2 linked regions of the Callithrix jacchus genome follow. The protein of the gene in region 2 binds, or shares a complex with, the protein of the main gene of each other region. Links are inferred from orthologs where the notes say so. Each region holds a gene or a part of one and is shown on either strand. Other genes may lie near its edges.

Region 1 (10,601 bases), on a different chromosome or scaffold from region 2:
TAGCTACTCAGGAGGCTGAGGTGGAAGGATCCCTTAAGTCCAGGAGTTTGATACTGTAGTATGCTATAATCCCACCTGTTTTATGCTATAAAACCACTGCACTCCAGCCTGGGTAACACAGAGAGACTACATCTTTAAAAAAAAAAGGAAAACAATTGAGCAATCAGGCTCATAGGATGGCTTTGGGGCCAATTTTTTTCCATCCAGTGCCCTATGGTAAATGTTTCCTTGATAGGCCTTGGAGAACTTGACACATAATATTTATGCACATACTGCTGTGATTTTGTGTTATTTCTAGTTTTCAGTATTGCAAATATCACTGCAGTCAACATCCTTACTTGTACATCTTCAGTATGACTTTTTTTAAGAGATGGGTTCTTGCTGTGTTGTTCAGGCTCATCTGTTTCAAATTTCTGGCCTTGAGCAATACTTCCACCTCAGTCTCCCAAAGTACTGGGATTCGTGAACCATTGTGCCTGGTCTCCTTACTTATACATCTTTATGTGTGTCTGATGATTTCCTTGGAATAAATTGATAGAGGTAGAATTACTAAGTCCGATAATACATACATTGCTAGGAACATATTTTAAAATGTACACATTACGATGGCAATAGTTTCAGAAATTTATTCTTTCATTCAGTAAACAGTAAAATCTTATTGAAGATTTATTAGATGTCAACTGCTGGGCCAGGCACAGGTGATACAACTGTGAACTTTATATACTCAGCTGCCTCAAGGAGCTTATGGGGTTGGGGAGAAAGGCAAGAGTCAGCCAATGAGGACCAGGGTGTGAAGGAATTGGATGGGCAAGGACAGGCAGGGAGAGCTAGTGGCCCGAGTGGATGTCCTGGGTTGTGACTCATTCTTCCTGGCTGGTCTTCCACAGACTATAATCTCTGCTAGCACAGAGCTAGCCCCAAACTTCCTGACAGCCCAAAGATCTAGTCTGCCCTCCCTGAGACCAACTAGGCTGGATAAAATAATATACCTGCACTGAAGTCTGGTCAGATTCATTGTGGGTATTTGTTTCTTTTTATATGAAACAAGGTCTCACTCTGTCACCCAGACTAGAGTACAGTGGTGAAGTCATAGCTTACTGCAGCCTCCAACTCCTGGGCTCAAGTGATCCTCCCACCTCAGTCTCCCAAGTAGCTGGGACTACAGGTGTGCCACTATGCTTGGCTAATTTTTTATTTTTTTTGTAGAGACAGGGTCTTGTTATGTTGCCCAGGCTGGTCTCAAACTCCTGGCCTCAAGTGATCCTCCATCTCCTATCCTACAGGCATACACCACTATGCCTGGCCTCCCAAAGCACTACAGGTGTGAGATTACAGGTGTGATTACAGGTGTGAGCCACGACACCAGACTGGGGTATTTGTTTCTAACCCCTGCACCACCTGTTAATCTTTTGCTACTTCACTCTTCTTTCCAAACACCAGCCCCTCTCTGCAAAACAGGGTTAGCAGCAATATCTGTTGCATCGGGTGGTTGTGAGCTCACAAGATGATGCATGTCAGGGGCCTGCCTGGCATCATAGTAAGTGCTCAGTAAGCCAGGGTAGGATCAAGCACGTATCAGAAACACCTGGATGACTGGTTAAAACAGTTGCCTGTGCCTCACTCTATAGTTTCTGATTCAGCAGGTATGGGTAAGTTCCAAGAATTTGAATTTTTCTTTTTTTTTTCCAGAGACAAGTTCTCACTATGTCACCGAGGCTGGTTTCAAACTCCTAGGCTCAAGAAATCCTCCTGCCTCACCGTCTTAAGTGTTGGGATTACAGGAGTGAGCCACCTTACCTGGCTTTCTTTTTTTTTAATGCTTAATTTTTTTTTTTAAGAGACGGGGGGAGAGCATCTTGCTCTGTTGCCTAGGCTGGAGTGCAGTAGCGAGATCGTAGAGATCATAGCTCACTGCAACCACAAACTCCTGGGGTCAAGTGATCCTCCCACCTCTGCCTCCTAAATAACTGGACTAAAGGCATACACCACCACACCTGGCTAATTTTTTATTTTTATTTATTTATTTATTTATTTTGTAGAGACAGAGTCTTCTGTGTTACCCAGGCTAGTCTCGAACTCCTGGCCTCAAAGAATCCTCCTGTCTTGGCCTCCCAAAGTGCTGGGATTACAGGCATGAGCCACTGCACCCAGACAAGAATTTGCCTTTCTAACAAGTTTCCAAAGTGATGTCGATGCTACTGGTCCAGGACCACAGTTTGAAAACCAATAGCTTAAAGGAATTACACCATGGCTTCCTGGTCTGATACCTCTAGTTTCCACCCTCCACAACAGGGAGGACTCACCTTGAGTTCTTTCATGGCAGGGCCATCAAAAGAACTATGTTTGATCAGTCTCTCCTCTTCCAGCATAGGCACTTTTACATGGTTTTATGGGTTGAATTATTATCATTATTTTCACTTTCATCTCTACAGAAAATAATATAAAAATTAGCCAAGCATGGCAGTGGGTGCCTGTAGTCCCAGCTGCTTAGAAGGCTGAAGCAGGAGGATTGCTTGAGGCCAGGAGGTTGAGGCTACAGTGAGCCATGATTATAACCACTGCACTGAAGCTCAGGTGAAACAATGAGATCCTGTCCCTCACCCCACCAAAAAATAGTGACCAGACTCCAAAAGCATAGGGAACAAAAGAAAAAATAGATAAATGTGTTTATACCAAATTAAAAAGCTTCTGCACAGCAAAGGAAATGACAGAGTAAAGAGACAACCCACAGATTGAGAAAAAATATTTACAAACTATACATTAGATCAGGGACTAATATCTAAAATGTACAAATCAGACCACTCAATAAAAATAAAAAAATAACCCTATTACAAAATGGGCAGGGCCAGGCTCAGTGACTCAGGCCTGTAGTCCCAGTACTTCGGGGGGCTGAGGTGGGAGGACTGCTTGAACCCAGGAGTTTGAGACAAGTGTGGGCAATATAGTGAGACCCTGCCTCTAAAAAATAATATTAATACAAAGGTGCTGGGTACGGGCTGAATTATGTCTTCCCCAGAAGTTACTGAAGTCCTAACCTGCCAGTACCTGTGGAGATCTTATTTAAATATAGGGTCTTTGCAAGTGTAATTAATCCAGTTAAGATGAAGTCATCAGCATGAGCTCTAATCCAATGTGACTTGTGTCCTTATGAGAGGAGAAACAGAGAGATGAGGGGAGCATGCCATGTAGCGGTGAGGCAGAGATTGAAGTGCTGTGGCTGCTAGCCAAGGATTGCCAGCAAACCCCAGGAAGCCAAGAAGAAGCAAGGACAGATTTTCCCCTACAGGTTTCAGAAGGAGCATAGTCTTGCCCACACTTTGATTGTAGACCTCCAGCCTCCAGAACTGTAAGACAATAAATTTCTCTTGTTTTAAGCCACCTGGTTTGTGGTTCTTTGTTACAACATTCCTAGGAAACTGACACCCTGAGTTATCATTTTACAGACACCACCAACACAAACCTTTTCTTAACTTCTTCTTCTTTTTTTTTTTTAAAGATGGAGTTTCACCATGTTGGTCAGGCTGGTCTTGAACTCCCAACTGCAGGTGATCCGCCTGCCTTGGCCTCCAAAGTGCTTGGATTACAGGCATGAGCCACCATACCCGGCCTCTAACACAAGCCTTTTCAAAGTAATTTACTTCTTCACAGGCACTATGACTCGCCCTCTACCAAATTTGAGGATATTTCCTTTCCTGAAGTCCATGGGCATGAGAAGCAAAGCAGTGAACTCTCATCTGCTGCCTTTTGACCTTCCTACTTTCCTGGAGTGTATTTTATTATCCCTTATATTTCACTTGTTCACTTGGAGAAGGAAATGTGACAGCACAAACACATGATGAGCTGGGAAAGCCTCACGCCTCTGTTTCTCATCAGTTGTGTTCCATGAGAGTTGAGTAAGGACAAGGGAAGGTATGTAAGGGTGTACTCTCACCCTGGTCTGGAGAACACGCCCAGGGGAAAGTGCAACTTATCACCACTGCATCATTACCATCAAACTGTGCCACCACTCTGGTTCCTAACCTAGGCGGTTGGGGGTGGGGAATCCGTACTCATTTCCACCTTATTTCAGGGAGTTATTAACCTGAAGGTGCCTGTAGGGTCTGGAAGATAAGAGAGGAAGGAGTCTTCATCTTTATTCCAGACGGTCACCTTGTCTTCAGCACCACCCCCCTCCCAGTTGTCCTCATGAAACAAAACCTCCTTCCATGGCCTGCCATCCCCACAAGACAGCTATTCTCTTCCTGAGAAGAGGGTCTTTTCAGGAAGTGGAGGACTTTAAATTCCTCCTTGAATCTATGTTCGCAGTCCTCTGAACCCAGCCCGTCCCAGCTTTGTCTCAAACCTTCCAAACCACCCCTGATTCTTCACCTGACCAACTTACTCTAGCACCTGCGGCTTGCTATGCCTTCTTTGCCTCTTAGAGATGGCACCTGCTGTTCCTTATGCTTAAAACACCCTTCCAGCTGGGCACGGTGGCTCATGCCTGTAATCTGAGCACATTGGGAGGCTAAGGTGGGCAGATCGCTTGAGCCCAGGAGTTTGAGACCAACCTGGACCATGGCAAAACCCTGTCTCTACAAAAAATACAAAAATTAGTTGGGTGTGGTGGTGCACGTCTGTAGTCCTAGCTACTTGGGAGGCTGAGGTGGGAGGATTGCTGCCCAGAAGCTTAAGGCTGCAGTGGATTAAGACTGCACCACCGAACTCCAGCCTGAGCAATAGAGTGAGATCCTGTTTCAAAAAACAAAACAAAACAAAAAAAACCCTTCCATCTCCACACCACATGAAACATTCTTGGAGAGGGCGAGTGGGGAGCTTGTTCTGTGCACCCTGAGCACGCTACTTCCCTCTATCTACAGGAAGGCCACATTGTCTGGTGAGTGCTTGTTTACTGACCCTCTCCCTTCACCAGACTAAACTCTTCAACAACAGAGCCCTGGACTTGTTTGCATCTGCAGCAGGGAGTTTGTGATTCAAAATAGGCTTGTGGGCTTTTTCATGAGAGGAAGAAATGGGTGAAAAATAATGATAATCACAACGAAAGTTATTATTCATGCAAGACTTTGGGGGAGTCTGGCCTCCTGTATTCAAATTCTCATTTAAGGCCAAAGACACTTGGAACCCATTTATCCCCACTGCACAGGTGAGCAAACGGAGGATTTGAGAGGTAAAGAGATCTCACAACCAGTTAAGTGGTCAAAATACAAGTGTGCCTGATTCCAAGGCCCCAGTCGCCCCCAAATGCTGCACGGCCAGACCGCGAATTGGTAGGCTAGCGGGGCTGCCCCTCCTGCCTACTGGGACCGAGATCCCCAGACCTGCTCGGGGCCGGGGCCGCTTACGCCCTTAGTGTACCCGTGACGCGTGCGCAGTGCAGTGCGGCGCCCCCTGCGGGCAGCGCGCAGGAGGCGGTGGCGGCGGAGGGGCGCTCAGTGCGCCTGCGCGCTCGTAGAGCTGGTGGCGGCGCTCTGCGGGGGCTCCCCGGTTCTCCGCGCGGCGGGCGCGGCCATGGCGCAGCCGGGGAAGCTGCTCAAGGAGCAGAAGTACGACCGGCAGCTGAGGTGAGCCGGGGCTCACCGAGCCGAGGGTGGGCCGGCGGGCTTCCCTGAGTCCGGGCCGGGCCTAAGGGCGCAGGCGGCGCGATCGGGCCTCCCTCAGGCCTCCTTTCAGGCTGGGCCGGGCCGTGTGGGGCGCGGGAAGCCGGCGCTCTGGCCTCCCGCCCCGGGCCGAGGGTGCTCCGCGAGGACCAGGACCCCTTTCCCCGCCACGCGGTGTGCGATTCGGGACACGCAGTCCCCATTGCCAAGCCCGGTCGCTAGCGCGGCTGCCCGCCCCGCCTCGCCGCGCCCAGGCTCCTGGTTTTCAGAATGGGGAGGCCCAGAACGCACCCCATCCCTGCCGCAAGAGCGGCATAGAGGGTTCGGTTTTGTTCTCACCAGCGCTGTCCAATGGAAATGTAATGCCAGTCTCATGTGAATCACAAATTTAATTATAAATTTTATAGTAACCACTCTAAAAGTAAAAAGAAATAGGTGAAAATTATTTTTAAATACAATTTAACCCAATATGTCCAAAATATTACTATCTTAACAAGTAATCAACATAAGAAGTTATGAAGACATTTTACTTAATTTTAAAAAATATTTTATGTTTTTTGTAGAAACGGGATCTTGCCACCTTGCAGGATGGTCATGAGTATTTTCCTTTTTAAAACTGTCTTGGAAGACGGGCATGGTGGCTCACGCCTGTAATCACAGCACTATGGGAGGCGGAGGCGGGTGGATCAGGAGTTTGAGGTCAGGAATTTGAGACCAGCCTGGGCACCATGGTCAAACCTCATCTTTATTAAAAATTCAAAAATTAGCCGGGTGTGGTGGCGCGCGCCTGTAATCCCAGTTACTCTGGAGGCTGAGGCCAGAAAATCGTTTGAATCCAGGAGGTGTAGGTTTCAGTGAGCTGAAATCACGCCACTGCACTCCAGCCTGGGTGACAGAGCGAGACTCTTTAAAAAAAAGAAAACCCAAAACTGTCTTAGAAATACTGCCTTCTACACTTACAGTACATCTCAGTTAACACTAGCCTCGTTGCTCAGTAGTACGTGTAGCTGGCGGCTACCTTAATGGGCATTGCAGGCCCAAGCCATCAGGAGGGTCCTTGGCTACTTCCCCACCCTTGCCTTTTCTTTCACTCCCCATTGCTTATTTATTGAGCGTCTTCTATATCTTGAGGCTGTGGAAGTAACAAAGCTGCTTGGCTTCCTCTTCCTGGAGCCTCTGAGACAACAGAAGTTATGTATCTCCAAGGACTGGAGTTTCTGTTTGTACCACCAGCCTAGTGTTGTATTAGAGGCACTTAAGTCTGAGAGCACCCTTGAAAGCAGCCATTTCCTGTGCTTTACAATTAGGGAAACTGAGTCTTGGAGAAGTTAGGTAACTTGCACAGAGTTCCCCATATCTTGAGCCAGGATGTAAAGTCAGGCTCTTCTGGGTTTTTTGGAGGTACACAGTTACATCCTGCTCCCAAGCTTTTAGGAAAAGAAAGAAAGGTGACAGTCCTTATAACCAACTTAGGTTTTCTTGTAAATTATTGGAGTTTGTCTGTTTTGAATGCAGGTATAACCATACGTGTGACAGAGCTGAGAAGATAGTTGAGGTTACTTAGCAACTCTAACAAAAGAGGGGTTTTGCTGAAGACATTCCATTTAAGTCCCAAACTTTACCTTTCATAGTGAGAACTGGTTATTGGTTTTGAACTGTCAAAGGGAAGCAGTTAGAAGCAAAATGCAGCAGTCAATACGGCCCTCCTGGCTTCACCTTAATTGGGCCAGCAAGTTAGAGAGGACTGAATACGTTTTACCTCTTCTTGAAACATGTTACTTAGAGGCATACCAGGATTCTTTTTTTTTTTTTTTTTGAGACCGAGTCTCACTCTGTCACCCAGGCTGGAGTGCAGTGGCATGATCTTGGCTCACTGCAACCTCTGCTTCTCGGGGTCAAGCGATTTGTGCCTCAGCCTCCCAAGTAGCTAGGATTACAGGTGTGTACCCAGCTAATTTTTATATTTTTAGTAGAGACAGGGTTTCACCATGTTGGCCAGTCTGTCCTTGAACACCTGACCTCAGGTGATCCGCCTGCCTTGGCCTCCCAAAGTGCTGGGATTACAGGCGTGAACCACCTCGCCCAGCTGAAATGAACCAGTATTATTATTATTATTATTATTTTATTTTTTTTTTTTTTTGAGACAGAGTCTTGCTCTGTTGCCAGGCACCAGGCTGGAGTGCAGTGGTGCAATCTTGGCTCACTGCAACCTTTGCCTCCCTGATGAACCAGTATTCTTAAGTTTACTCTCCAGCTATTCAAGCATCCATCAAATATATGTCAGGTGTCTTCTGCGTGCTATACTTTCATGGAGAAAACGGGCATTTACAGTCCATCTGGTTCTTCCAGGCGATTCCTCCACACATTTGACAGCTGTCTGGGCCCTTACAAAGCTAAGAGTGGAGTGGAAAGATGGATGCCCAGCAAACAAAAACAAATGAAGCCAGGTGCAGTGGCTTGTGCCTGAAGTCCCAGCAACTCTAGAGGCTGAGGCCAGAGAAATGCTTGAACCCAGTAGTTCAAGACCAGCCTGGACAACACAGTGAGACCCTGTCTCAAAAAAAAAAAAAGAAAAATGAGGCAGTTGCTTGTCATATGCTCTGGAGGACATACTGGTTACGTAATAAGGAGTAATCTGCTTTAGATTAGGTGATGGGGAAGGCACATTAATCATGCTCTTAGAATGTTCATTGGGTATTATACTTTAAAGCACTCCTGTAGAAGTTGACGTGAGGCTTTTCAGATGATAATTCAGTTTTCTTGGTAAAGGTTTTGCCCATCCTTGGAGAAGTCACAGTAACAAGCCCTATGTCAAGATCTTAAATACATCTAACTTAACTTAAATGCATCTAACATAACTTAAGAATAAATGAGTCCAGGCATGGTGGCCCATGCCTGTAATCCCAGCACTTTGGGAGGCCGAGGTGGGCGGATCATGAGGTCAGGAGATCCAGACCATCCTGGCTAACGTGGTGAAACTCCATCTTTACTAAAAATATAGAAAACTAGCCGGGCGTGGTGGGATGTGCCTGTAGGACCAGCTCCTAGGGAGGCTGAGGCAGAAGAATCACTTGAACCCAGGAGGTGGAGATTGCACTGATCACTCCACTGCACTCCAGCCTGGTGACAGAATAAGAGGCCGTCTCAAAAAGAAAAAAAAAGATCACTATTCAAATAAGAAAGCTGTATTGTCATGAAAGCTTTAAACATGTCAAATTTGTGTCTCTTTTGTAGGTTGTGGGGTGATCATGGGCAAGAGGCTTTAGAATCTGCTCATGTTTGCCTAATAAATGCAACAGCCACAGGAACTGAAATTCTTAAAAACTTGGTACTACCAGGTAATGTAGTTTTGTGGTTGTGTTCTAAATTTACTTCTTTAAGATTATGACCTAGAACTGTACATTCCTGACTTACTCTGTTTTGGCTCTCAGGTGTTGGTTCGTTTACAATTATTGATGGCAATCAGGTCAGCGGAGAAGATGCTGGAAACAAGTATGTTCTATTCTTTTCAAATATATACATGTTAAGGAAGGCAGTGCACTTTCATGGGAAGGCAAGTCCTGAATCCTAGCTTCAGTCAGGGTGACTCGGCTCTCAGTGGAAGTCATCTTTGTTTGGGATTATGGTGAGGAGGAAGTGAGATAATACAGGTAAAGTGCAATACAGCATTTGGCAAATGGGCCATTAATAAAAGGTACTCATCATTACTGGATTGTTATGAATATAAAAGAGTAGTCATTATTTGTTTATTCATGTAATATGGACACTTCTAAGCTCTTGCACTGACTCCTATATAATCACATATAATTAACAATAATACCTGTATGTCTTCTCAGCTTAGTCTAGGCGTATATCACTTTATACTGTGTCTACGAAATGCTGTTTTAAAGATGGCCTGTATATTATTCTTTAAAGATTATATGTAGATTTTCAGAGCATTCCCAAATTTGGATTTAATGCTCCGCACTTTTTCAGGGGCTTGAAGTCTGGTATCTTTCATTGTATTTGTCAGTAATAACAACAGTGAGTAAATATAAGGAAAACCAACAATTAGTTCATATTTAGTTTTGATGCCTTTTCTTTGGGTGGTAGTGCCAGTTTCTGCTAGGCACAGAACAGCCTTTTTATTGACATGTATAAAGAAATCTTGTTCTCTTTGCTTACTTGGTTGGTTAGAGTAGAATGTGATAAAAATAGAGTTTTTTCTATGGAGCCAGTGAGTTTATGCCAAAAAATGGCATCTTGACTCTGATCAGCAGCCTCATATCTGGGCCTTGAGACATGTCAAGGGTATGTGTGGGAGGAAGTCTGAATAAATCTGTTATAGTTACGTGCAAAAACAAATGGTTCAGTACACCGAGACTAATCTATGGAACACTGGTTCTAGAGAATGTTAAAAGCTGTTAAATGGGCCGGTGGGTTCCATGGTCAAATTAGTTTGGGAAATGGATCAAATAAAGTTAAAATTTCTTTACCTTAAGATTTTAGTGGCAGGGTGCAGTGGCTCAGGCCTGTAATGCCAGCACTTTGAGAGGCTGAGGCGGGCAGATCACTTGAGGTCAGGAGTTCAAGACCAGCCTGGCCAACATAGCAAAACCCAATCTCTACTAAAAATGCAAAAAGTTGGCTGGACACGGTGGCTCATGCCTGTAGTCCCAGCACTTTGGGAGGCCAAGGCAGGTAAATCCCCTCAGGTCGGGAGTTTGGGACTAGCCTGACCAACATGGAGAAACTCCATCGCTACTAAAAATACAAAAAATTAGCTGGGTGCGGTGGCGCTTGCCTGTAATCTCAGCTACTCGGGAGGCTGAGGCAGGAGAATCCCTTCAACCAGGGAGTCAGAGGTTGCAGTGAGCTGAGATAGTACCACTGCACTCCAGCCTGGCGACAGAGTAAGACTCCATCTCAAAAAAAAAAAATTTTAGTATCATATGTTTTATGTATATTATGAATTTCCAAGAGGGAAATATAGCATATGGTGTTTCCCAAACTTTTTTTAGCCAA
Region 2 (10,359 bases):
GGTGTCCCGGGTGGGGAGACGCCACTTACCCCACGACGGAAATCATCATGGCAGCCACCACCAGGTAGTTGGTCTGGTAATAGAGCAGGTTGCTCACCACGCGGTTGTTCCATTTGGAAATGTCCCTGAAGTCCGGCCGGGCAAAGCGATCGGAGCCCGGGAAGAAATCGTCCCAGGCGCGGAGTGGGGCGATATTAACGTCCATGTTCTTAGCTTTGCGTTCTTCGCCTCCTGAATCTGGCGGCGGCGGCGGCGGCAACCGATCAGCTGAGCTGAGTCACCGAGGTGACAGCCGCTTCGTCTAGATCGGCTTCGTGGTTGGTAGGCAGCGGAGCAAAGGACATTGGGAGCGGGCGGGCGTGTTTGCTCCTCTTTACTTCTAGATTGGCTGTGTAAGTGGTTAGGTACAGGAAAACAGGGACCTCGAGTCAGGACAAGAGACTGAGTGCAGAATAGAGATGAAATGACAAAGCAAACAGCAGAAATCCCCTTTCTGAAGCGAGGTGGCAATGTCTTCTTTGGTAGTCTGAACACCAGGGGCCTCCTTTGAAATACCTTTTTTAAAGGTTTAACTTAGAAGTGTATTTTCTGACTTAGAGAAAAATTTTGGCAGCTGTGCAGATGCCACTATAAGTCAAATGAAATGGAAGGCGACTACAGTGTTACTGGATAATGAGCTGCTTTTGAAAACTACCTCTTACTAACCTCTACACATCTGAATGCAATTCCCATGTTTTCTCTGTTTCACCATGAGTCACTATGTGTGAAATCAGATTGGCAAAACGGGAAAGAAGGTCATGTCGAACAGAAAGGCTGGTTTGTTTTTTTCACTTCTCTTCTTTGTTCTCCATCTCTATTCTCTTGAGGCTGAACTGTTGGACTGCTGTGCCATTCTGATAAAGTGATAAATTTGGCACGCTGCTCACTTTAGACAACTGGGCATGTTGCTTACATTTTAAAGCAAACAGTTGTCTCCAGTGAACTAGTTGTTCTGCATCTAGCGTTTTGTGAGCAGAAATATGCATTCCACTTCAAATGTTTTCTTAGTTTTATTGAAAAATTTGGTGACAACTTTCACTGAGGAACCACAGTATATTCATAGATAAGGTATCCCAGAACTAAGAACTGGCAAGGGATGTATTCATTGTAAATTATCTTCTAAGCTTTCAAAAGGTCATCGTTTTTCAGTTAATGAGCTGATTGTTACATTATATGAGAAAAAGTATTTTGTTTAATTGTATAATGTAATAGGTAGGATTCTAAGATGAAGACTTCTGAGATAACAGAGTCTGTAGGCCCATAGTGGTTTAGACAAACTGAATTCACTCTACTCAGATAATTAATTTTCAAAATCTTAGAAAGTAATGAAATATACTTATGCAAAGTCTAGAAAATAATTTAATCTTCCTTGTTGATTCAGAAGGCAGTTAAGGAGCTTACAGTGACTCTAAGAAATTACTACTACTACTGGTGTTTAGGAAAGTTTGGTGATTGCAAAGAATTAGTGCTGACTAAGATATATCTTATGTGCTGCCTTTTGAATAAAGTTTAAAATGTGAAAATATTACTGAATGCTCACGTTCTCTTGATTCTGGAAAAATGGGATGGTGTGAAGTCAGAGAAAGCAAAATTAGAGTCCCAGCTCCTTCCTCTCTGACAGGTGACTTTGGAGAAATTACCTGATCTCTCCTAGCATCAATTTCTTCATGTGTAAAGTGGGGATAATGGAACATCTGCCACAAAGGTGAGGATAAGTGAAGGAATGTATAGGAAGTGCTTAGTGTATGACAAATGTTCACAGTTATACGTTACTATTATTGTCATTAGTAATAGGCTAGCCCATGATTCATGTCTGCTATTAATAGTGCTTTAATCTGATTTGTTTTCTATAAGCATCTACTGACTTTTCTCTACCTTGCTCCAATTTTATTGTTGTGGTCATATCTGGGTAGATATAATAGGAGGAGAAAGATTGAGAATATTCAGTACAATGCCAACAGGTATTTCAAGTTCTTTTGAGGCTCTGGGACAACATGGTATTAAAAAAAATAAAAGAGGAGAAAGATGAAATCCTGCTCTGCCTTCAAAACTCCTGCAATCCAGTGGAAACACTAGTTAAATATGAGACAGTGAGATGAGGGCTAAATAGAGATGCACTGAGCCACAGTGCACAGTTACAGGAAGTCAGAGGGTGTGGAGGAATTTCCCAGGGCTTCAGAATGTCAAGAAGCAGCACTGTGGGCAAGCTGAGTAAATCATTTTGGTCAAAGTGTGGGGCCCCACACTGTTAGATTTATGAGTATTAGAAGCTGTGATCAAGAACTTTATCTTCTGGCCAGGCGCGGTGGGCTCACGCCTGTAATCCCAGCACTTTGGTAGGCTGAGGCGGGTGGATCATGAGGTCAAGAGATCAAGACCATCCTGGTCAACATGGTGAAACCCCGTCTCTACTAAAAATACAAAAAAAAAAAAAGTTAGCTGGGCATGGAGGCACGTGCCTGTAATTCCAGCTACTCAGGAAGCTGAGGCAGGAGAATTGCCTGAACCCAGGAGGCGGAGGTTGTGGTGAGCCGAGATCGCGCCATTGCACTCCAGCCTGGGTAACAAGAGTGAAACTCCATCTCAAAAAAAAAAAAAAGAACTTTATCCTCCAACTGCTCAGAACTACATGACCAAAAGCTGTCAAGAGTATATTAGTAACAATATGATTACGCCTTGATTACAGGCAATTGATACCCAAGAGTTATTTGTTTAAACCTTAAAAGGGGTTTAAAAAGAAAGAAATTCTAAAAAGACAGAGAAAGCTGTTTATAGCATGATTCCTTTCTCCCTCTCTCCCAAAATGTTATTTCTGTTTCTCTCTTTGGGAGATTTTTTTTTTCTAAATATTTTTACCTTTGTTAAAAAAAATTTTTTTTTTAAATGAACACATTATGAGTCATTTCTTTATTCCAGTAACTGTTTGAAATGCTGTAAGTAGCAACTCTTTGTTAGTGTTCATTCTGGGGAGAGAGACGTCAGATTCACTGCAGAGGTCTTCCTGGAGCTTTGACTTATTACTATTTTTAGAGACAGGGTCTTACTCTGTTGCCCAGGCTGGTCTTAAACTCCTGGGCTCAAGCAGACCTCCCACTTCAGCCTCCCAAGTAGCCAGGATAAAAGGCATGGGAATCCAAGCCCCACTTCATGGGGCTTTTATAATGGGACTGGTGTGTCTAGATAGGACAGAATATCTGTCTGTTTTAAACCTATAGCAGATAGTCTAATTGTTTATGATACGTTCCATTTGAAGTAAAATAAATCTGTTGGAGGTTTTGCTTGCATGTCTCTGTTGCTATCATTACTGGCAAGGGCAGATGGCTATTTCTGATCCGTCAATCAATCTGAGCCAGTGAGAGTGCCTGGTGGCATTAATCAAAATACCACCATAGTGAGTCAGGGTGTTCTTCTCAAAGCAAGCAGATACAGGGCCAGATGCCTTTGCAGACTTCTTCATAAGTTAGCTGTATTCTATCCCTAGGCCTAAGTTTCCTCCCCATGAAACAGGTGAGATTGGACTAGGTGGTCTCTAAGGTGCCTGTTGGTTTCACCATGTGAGAGGGCTACAATGCTCACTACCACTAATCAAAGGGTATCCAGTATTATTGGGGGTTCAGGCTACAGGAGCCCATTTTAATAAGCACTGAGGTTAAATCCTCAGTGAAGCCATCTGTGGAGTTGTCTGATTGTCTGATCAAGAAAAAGTGGTTTCATAGTTGATGCTGAGATATGTGATGCAGAAGGAGGCTGGAATCTCTTGATAATGGACTATGAACTTTAATTCCACACCCACTGCCTGGCACTAACTTTCAGCTCAATGAATGCTATTGAACTGAACCTAACTGGGGGGGCCATAAAGGACAAGCTTTCCTTAAGGTTCAATGAAAACTAGGACAAGAGGAGATTAAATTTCACAATGTAGTAATGGCAGCTCCATTTATGAGTCCCTATTAGGGTTTATGTATTTCATTTCAGTGGCTCTCAAACTTTACCAGCAGAGAACGACCCCAGGCTTTGCAGAAGGTTGAGGGTGGGGCCTGAAAATTTGTGTTAACAAAAAATTCCCGAGTGATGTTGATCAGAAACTGTATTCTGAGAGCCACTCTGGATTTTACTTAATTATCAGTCTTACAAGGTGAATAGTGTTATGCCTATTTTATAAATGAAGACATAGAAGTGTCTAAGGGTCTCATAGCTCATAACTGTGAAGGATTTAAAATCAATTACTTTTGATTCCAAATCTCATTCTTGTCCCACTCCATAAAAGGAGATGTGTGTGTATGTATATATAAATGCATTTTTGAACATGATCATTTCTGTCTATCCAGCCATCCAGACTCACATGTATATTTGTATTTTTGACTCTATAAGAAAATAGCTGACACTTTGCTCACTCTTTATCTTGAGGTAACAGGATTATGGGTGTTCTAAATTATTATTTGATTTTTGTCCTTTATACTTTCTTCTTTGCATCTAAATATATACATTTATCACAGAAAAAAAAGTTTTAACGAAATCATTTCATTTCTGTTGAACTTATCTAACAGAATGTGACACAAAAATATTAATGTTGATTTGTACAAAGAAAATAATAATCTCTCATCCCACCACTGTAAACTGATTTAGATAAAATTATTCAAGTGAGTTCTTGTAAAGGCAAAGACTTTGGAATCATCCTGAAAAGCAGAAAGTGAAAATTTCCTTGGTCTTTGTCTTAGAGGAAAGCCTCTGGCATATTTAGATGGTTCTTCAGGAGTTTTTTAAAGAATATACCAGTATTTTATATAATTACTCATTAACATATAATTTGTACAAATGCATAATGTATTGTCTACATTTTCACGCTGCATAGCAACATTATGGACGGCATAAGATTTACTTAATTAAGTGTAGGTAATTAAGATTATAATTACAGGGAAAGGTTTTAAAGCCCACGGGAGTCCTAGCGCAGTCAGCCCCGCCCTTCCGGGCGGGCTCCGTCCCCGCCCCCGTCCCCGCCCCCGTCCCCGCCCCCACCCCGCCCCGCTTTGCCTGCCCCCTCCCCGCTTTGCCTGTCCCCCGCCCCGGCTTTGCCTGCCCCGCCCCCCGCCCCGCTTCGCTGGTCCCGCCCCTCCCCGCCCCGCCGCTAGGGCACCTGGGAAGAGGCGGAGAACAATATGGCGGATGGCGAGGAGCCGTAAGTACCGGGACTCTGTAGACGCGCCGGGCTGGGCTGGGTTGTGAGAGAGCGCGGCGGTGGGCGGTTGCCGCCGCCACCCGGGGTCCCCCAGCCCCCCGCCCCGTCCCCTCGCCCCGCCATCCCCTCGCGGCGCCCAGTGTGTAGCGTGATGCTGACCCTTCTTTTATTCTCTCTTTCTTTTAGGGAGAAGAAAAGAAGGAGAATAGAGGAGCTGCTGGCTGAGAAGTTAGTGCTGCCGGGAGGCCGGGGTCCTCTCCGGGGACCCCGGCCTCCCCCAACCCCAGGCCTAGGGGACCAGCCGCAGCGGGCCCGGGGGGCTGGGAGAGGGACACCCGGAGCGCAGGCCACGCGGCCTCATCCCTTGACCCCCGTCCCGCAGCCCTGGGGGCCTGGCAGGCCGTTCCCGGTTTCTGCGCAGTGCGGGCGTCGGGGCCGGGCTGCACCGCCCCAGCTCCTGCAGGGGCCCTCCAGGGTACTTGACGTAAGGGTCTTGAGGAAGGACCCTTGTGCACTCCTCTTTCTCCATCCCAAATTGTCAGAGCCGTGACCCTGTGAAAAGGGAATCTACTTTAAACACCCAGGAAAAGGACACAAGACCGTTTTGTGGCCTTTTGCAAACACTGAGACAGTAGTACTAATTGCAAACTTTTAATGATAACTCTACGTGTCAGATATTGTACTAAGCACTCCAGTCATTTTGGCAGAATAATTGGCTCTTAAAAGAGATTGACCTCAAACAGCCTGTTTTTCTCATTTACTACACACCCTATTTTTTATCAGATGCGTAGTTCTATGCTGGTGAGACAGATTTAATCGAAGTGTTTTCTAACCTGGCCAACGCCACATAATTTACTCCCCTCCCTGCCTGGGCAGGGAAACTTGCATTGGGTATGGTGAGTCTGTAATTTCCGTGCCAGTTCCCAGTAGCAGCTTTGGTCTTTAGGTATGTCCTTCAGACAGTTGAATTTCAACTGTGAGAGGACTGGGATGGCAAGCTTAATTTCACATTCTTTCCTGCCTTTTATTTCCCTCCTCCTTTTACGTGAAATCACAGTTAAACTTTGCTTACCACATGCCATGTATTGTTCTGAGTCCTCTCTATGTGATTACTTCTAGTCTCATGGCCGAAAGAAGTAGCTATGAATGGCCTACAGAGGAGGTTTATGGCCATTAAGAAATCTACTCAAGGTCATAGTGCTGTTAATTGTGGAACCGAGTACAACTCTTGACATCAAAACCTACGGTTTTTAGTGCTAGGCAATACTTCTTGGTCTCTTTTGTAAAAATTGGATATTGCAAACATATTTGAAAGTAGAAAGTGTGGGGTTATAGGAGGTTAGAAAATTTAAAATTATCACAACCAAACGTGAATCTTGCACTAGGTATAAAAGAGATGCATTTTGTAGAGGAGTCCCACCTTATTCTGTTGTGTGTTCTAAAGGGTTTCTAGATGCCTATCTGTGGCGTTATTGTAACCTAAAACTTCTTGTGTTTAGTGGCAAGAAAAACTGCCTCACAGTTTTAAGAGATTCTTTTAAAAATTAGGACCTCTGCCAGGTGCGGTGGCTCACTTCTATAATCCCAGCACTTTGGGAGGCCTAGGCAGGCAGATTACTTGAGCTCAGGAGTTCTAGACCAGCCTGGGCAACATGGTGAAACCCATCTCTACTAAAAATACAAAAATTAGCTGGGTATGGTGATACGTGCCTGTAGGCCCAGCTACTTGGGAAGCTGAGGCAGGGGAATCGCTTGAGCCCAGGAGGGCAAGGCTGCAGTGAGCTGCAATTGTGCCACTGCACTCCAGCCTGGGCAATTCAGGGAGACTGTCTCAAAGAAAAAAAAAAAAAAGGAAAAGAGAATATTAGAACCTCTCTTTCTGAGAAAAGTGTGTGAAAATTCCACTCATCAAAAATGATTTTTAGATTACACCTTTCAAACTTGGAAAGGACACAAGAAGTATTAAATTTGAAGCGTCAGAATTCTGGAAGTTGACTTTATTTTTTCTATTGTATCTCATGTTTCCTAATGCAAGTGTGTTGAAGCAACAGACTGAGAAAGTTTGCAGTGATTTTTTTGTTTTGTAAATACCAAATGTAGAGAAGTCCATTTCTAATGGATAGACCAATATCCTAAGTTGGACCTTGGATTGCATTAGGAAACCAAAAACATGTAGACTGATTGATTTCATCCAGTGGGTGAAATAAAAATAGAAATGTGGAGTTCTTAACTTTAAATCAATTGTATAATGGGCAAGAAAAAATTTCAAAGCATTAACATGAGCACGTTGAATATTTCCCTTTTTATTTGAGCAGGTGTGGTGTAGTTACCTTTTCATTTGGGGTTACCATATAGTTGTAGGTTTGGTTTTTTTCATACTGATGTTTGCAGCTGAATTTACTGTGTTCTGTGCAGAATGGCTGTTGATGGTGGGTGTGGGGACTCTGGAGACTGGGAAGGTCGCTGGAACCATGTAAAGAAGTTCCTCGAGCGATCTGGACCCTTCACACACCCTGATTTCGAACCGAGCACTGAAGTGAGAAACATTTATTTTTAAATAACTGCTCTAATAGTTTTATGTTTCAAAAATAATAGAATGCTTCCTTTTTAATTTGCTCTTATAATGAAAATACTAATAAAATTGTTTTGTGAAACTAAATTTTTTTAAAATATGAAATTGAATATTCACAACTGATTTTGTTTGAATGACCGTTTGAGTCTTCACATTTCTCATGTTACATAAGTTAAAAATTTTCAATAGAAAAATATGACCTTATGTAAAATTTAAGTTATACTTAAAATTCTAGTTTAAAATGCTCTCTGAAATATACTCCCCTTTTGTAGTACTATCGTGAGAAATTAATTTTGATAGGAATATAGATGCGCTTATTTACATTTTGAAATTTGGTTGGAATGAACATCTTAGCATTGAGTATAATTAGTTGCATGTTAAGAATTATGTGAGTACTAAATAATAGAGGCGTAGAATTTTGGACTGTTAGTGTCTGACTTAAGGCAAGTGTTCAATTATATGTGACTTACTTTTTATTACAGGGTAGGAAAAGTATAGCGTATGTTTATATCCTTTGTATTTACAAAAAGATAATATTTTGAAATAGAAATATTGTGCTACTTCTGTACATTAATGTGCACACTCTGGGTTTGGCCTAGTGTCTCATCTGAATAAATTTCTCCTTTAATGTTGGGCAGAATTGAAAGTATTTAAAAAAAAAAAAAAAAAAAAAAAGGCTGGGCGCAGTGGCTCACGCCTGTAATCCCAGCACTTTGGGGGGCCGAGGTGAGCAGATCACAAGGTCAAGAGATCGAGACCATTCTGCACAACATGGTGAAACCCCGTCTCTACTAAAAATACAAAGTTAGCTGGGCGTGGTGGCACATGCCTGTAATCCCAGCTACTTGGGAGGCTGAGGCAGCAGTGAGCCGAGATCATGCCATTGCAATCCAGCCTGGGCAACAAAAGCAAAATGTCATCTCAAAAAAAAATTTTTTTAATCGTTACTTCTGTTAAATGATTTTATTTTTGCCGATAAGGAATTTTCTAAGACTTGTATTTGTGTTTTCCTGTTATCTCATGTTTTGTGAGTTTCACTTACTTAATCAAAAGGAACTGTTGGCCAGGTAAGGTGGCTCATGCCTGTAATCCCAAAACTTTGGGATGCCAGAGTGGGAGGATCACTTGAGCCCAAGAGTTCAGACCACCCTAGGCAACTTAGGGAGAACCCATCTCTTAAAAAAAAAAATTAGCTGGGCATAGTGATACATGTCTTTGGTTTCAGGTACTCAGGAGGCTGAGGTGGGAGGATTGCTTGAGGGCATCTGGAGGTAGAGGCTACAGGGAGCTCTGATCAGGCCACTGTACTCCAGCCTGGGTGACACAGTGAGACCCTGTCTCAAAAAAAAAAAAAAAAAAAAGCAGCTGTTACTCTTCTAACCTTATTTTTTTAGTCCTTTAAGCACCTTGGGTAGTGTTTAATCCTGTTTTTAAGATTTTTAAACTTAAATTTTTAGGAAGTCAGTTAAATAACTGAATTTGATGTTTTCTATTCCTTTTCAAAAATTGAAAAGCAAACTAAAGATAGTTTTTCTTGTTAAAAAATAGCCTTTTAATTTCATACAATAAAAGGCAATTTAAAAACATTAGCAGCCAGACATCGTGGCTCATGCCTGTAAGCCCAGGACTTTGGAAGGGCGAGGCGGGCAGATCACCTGAGGGTCAGGAATTTGAGACCAGCCTGGTCAACATGGTGAAACCCCCGTCTCTACTAAAAATACAAAAATTAGCTGGGTGTGGTGGCTCATGCCTGTAATCCTAGCACTTTGGGAGGCTGAGGTGGGTAGATCACCCGAGGTCAGGATTTCAAGACCAGCCTGGCCATCATGGTGAAACCCCATCTTTAAAAAAAAAAAATACAAAAATTAGCTGGGTGTGGTGGTTCATGCCTGTAATCCCAGCTACTCAAGAGGCTGAGGCAGGAGAATTGCTTGAACCCAGGAGGCAGAGGTTGCAGTGAGCCAAGATCACATCACTGCACTCCAACCTGTGCGACAAAAGCAAGACTCCATCTCAAAAAATGAAACTAACATTGAAACTTACTGAAATCATTAGAGTTTTAGAATTTCTGGTTCGATAAGAATTCATACATTTAAAATAATTGATCAAATACAAAGTCTTCTCTTTATCCTAATTGCATTTTTTCGTGGAAACATCAGAAACTGTTTTAAAGTTTGTTGCTTTATTGACAGTCCTTGTGGTTATTACCCAGCTTTTAATATGCCTTTCCGTTCTTTACAGTCTCTCCAGTTCTTGTTAGATACTTGTAAAGTTCTAGTCATTGGAGCTGGCGGCTTAGGATGTGAGCTCCTGAAAAATCTGGTAATATATACACACATATATATATTTATATATATATATAAAAAATACATATTATTTTCTTTTTTGTGATAAGTAAACCTTGCTTATCTGTCATACTAGGAAATTTATTGTCATTGTTAACCTTTTCTCTTGAGCCTTTTTTAGATAAGTTTAGCACATCAAATTCCAGTGATTAAAATGATGATAGAACTTTGGAATTTTTTTAACTCTAAAGCTTTCAGCTATAAAATCATTGATAGAATTTCTTACT

Evidence for each region. Proteins that work in one complex are often made in the same cells at the same time.
Region 1: the proteins of UBA3 (region 2) and NAE1 are in contact, whole or in part, in a crystal structure (PDB 3DBR), measured with the Homo sapiens proteins. The link is inferred for Callithrix jacchus from reciprocal best matches to the Homo sapiens genes UBA3 and NAE1. Residues at the interface, in NP_003959.3 of Homo sapiens: Trp34, Glu35, Gly36, Arg37, Trp38, Asn39, His40, Lys43, Phe44, Glu46, Arg47, Ser48, Gly49, Pro50, Phe51, Thr52, Phe56, Glu83, Lys86, Asn87, Leu90, Ser91, Val106, Ser107, Leu109, Asn110, Arg111, Phe113, Leu114, Arg116; in NP_003896.1 of Homo sapiens: Glu10, Gln11, Lys12, Tyr13, Asp14, Arg15, Gln16, Leu17, Arg18, Leu19, Trp20, Asp22, Glu44, Lys47, Asn48, Leu51, Pro52, Gly67, Glu68, Ala70, Gly71, Asn72, Asn73, Phe74, Phe75, Gln77, Arg78, Ile81, Phe92, Glu95.

What each region holds. Positions count from the first base shown.
Region 1 is NC_133521.1:24,334,243-24,344,843, reverse strand, and holds the start of NAE1 (NEDD8-activating enzyme E1 regulatory subunit), read left to right. Parts: upstream 1-5,431; 5' UTR 5,432-5,508; coding exon 5,509-5,561; intron 5,562-8,831; coding exon 8,832-8,935; intron 8,936-9,028; coding exon 9,029-9,089; intron 9,090-10,601. UniProt on the Homo sapiens protein: Regulatory subunit of the dimeric UBA3-NAE1 E1 enzyme. E1 activates NEDD8 by first adenylating its C-terminal glycine residue with ATP, thereafter linking this residue to the side chain of the catalytic cysteine, yielding a NEDD8-UBA3 thioester and free AMP.
Region 2 is NC_133516.1:50,892,366-50,902,724, reverse strand, and holds the start of UBA3 (NEDD8-activating enzyme E1 catalytic subunit), read left to right. Parts: upstream 1-5,166; 5' UTR 5,167-5,195; coding exon 5,196-5,215; intron 5,216-5,401; coding exon 5,402-5,443; intron 5,444-7,630; coding exon 7,631-7,751; intron 7,752-10,028; coding exon 10,029-10,109; intron 10,110-10,359. Other genes in the region: ARL6IP5 (PRA1 family protein 3), read right to left, coding at 30-205. UniProt on the Homo sapiens protein: Catalytic subunit of the dimeric UBA3-NAE1 E1 enzyme. E1 activates NEDD8 by first adenylating its C-terminal glycine residue with ATP, thereafter linking this residue to the side chain of the catalytic cysteine, yielding a NEDD8-UBA3 thioester and free AMP.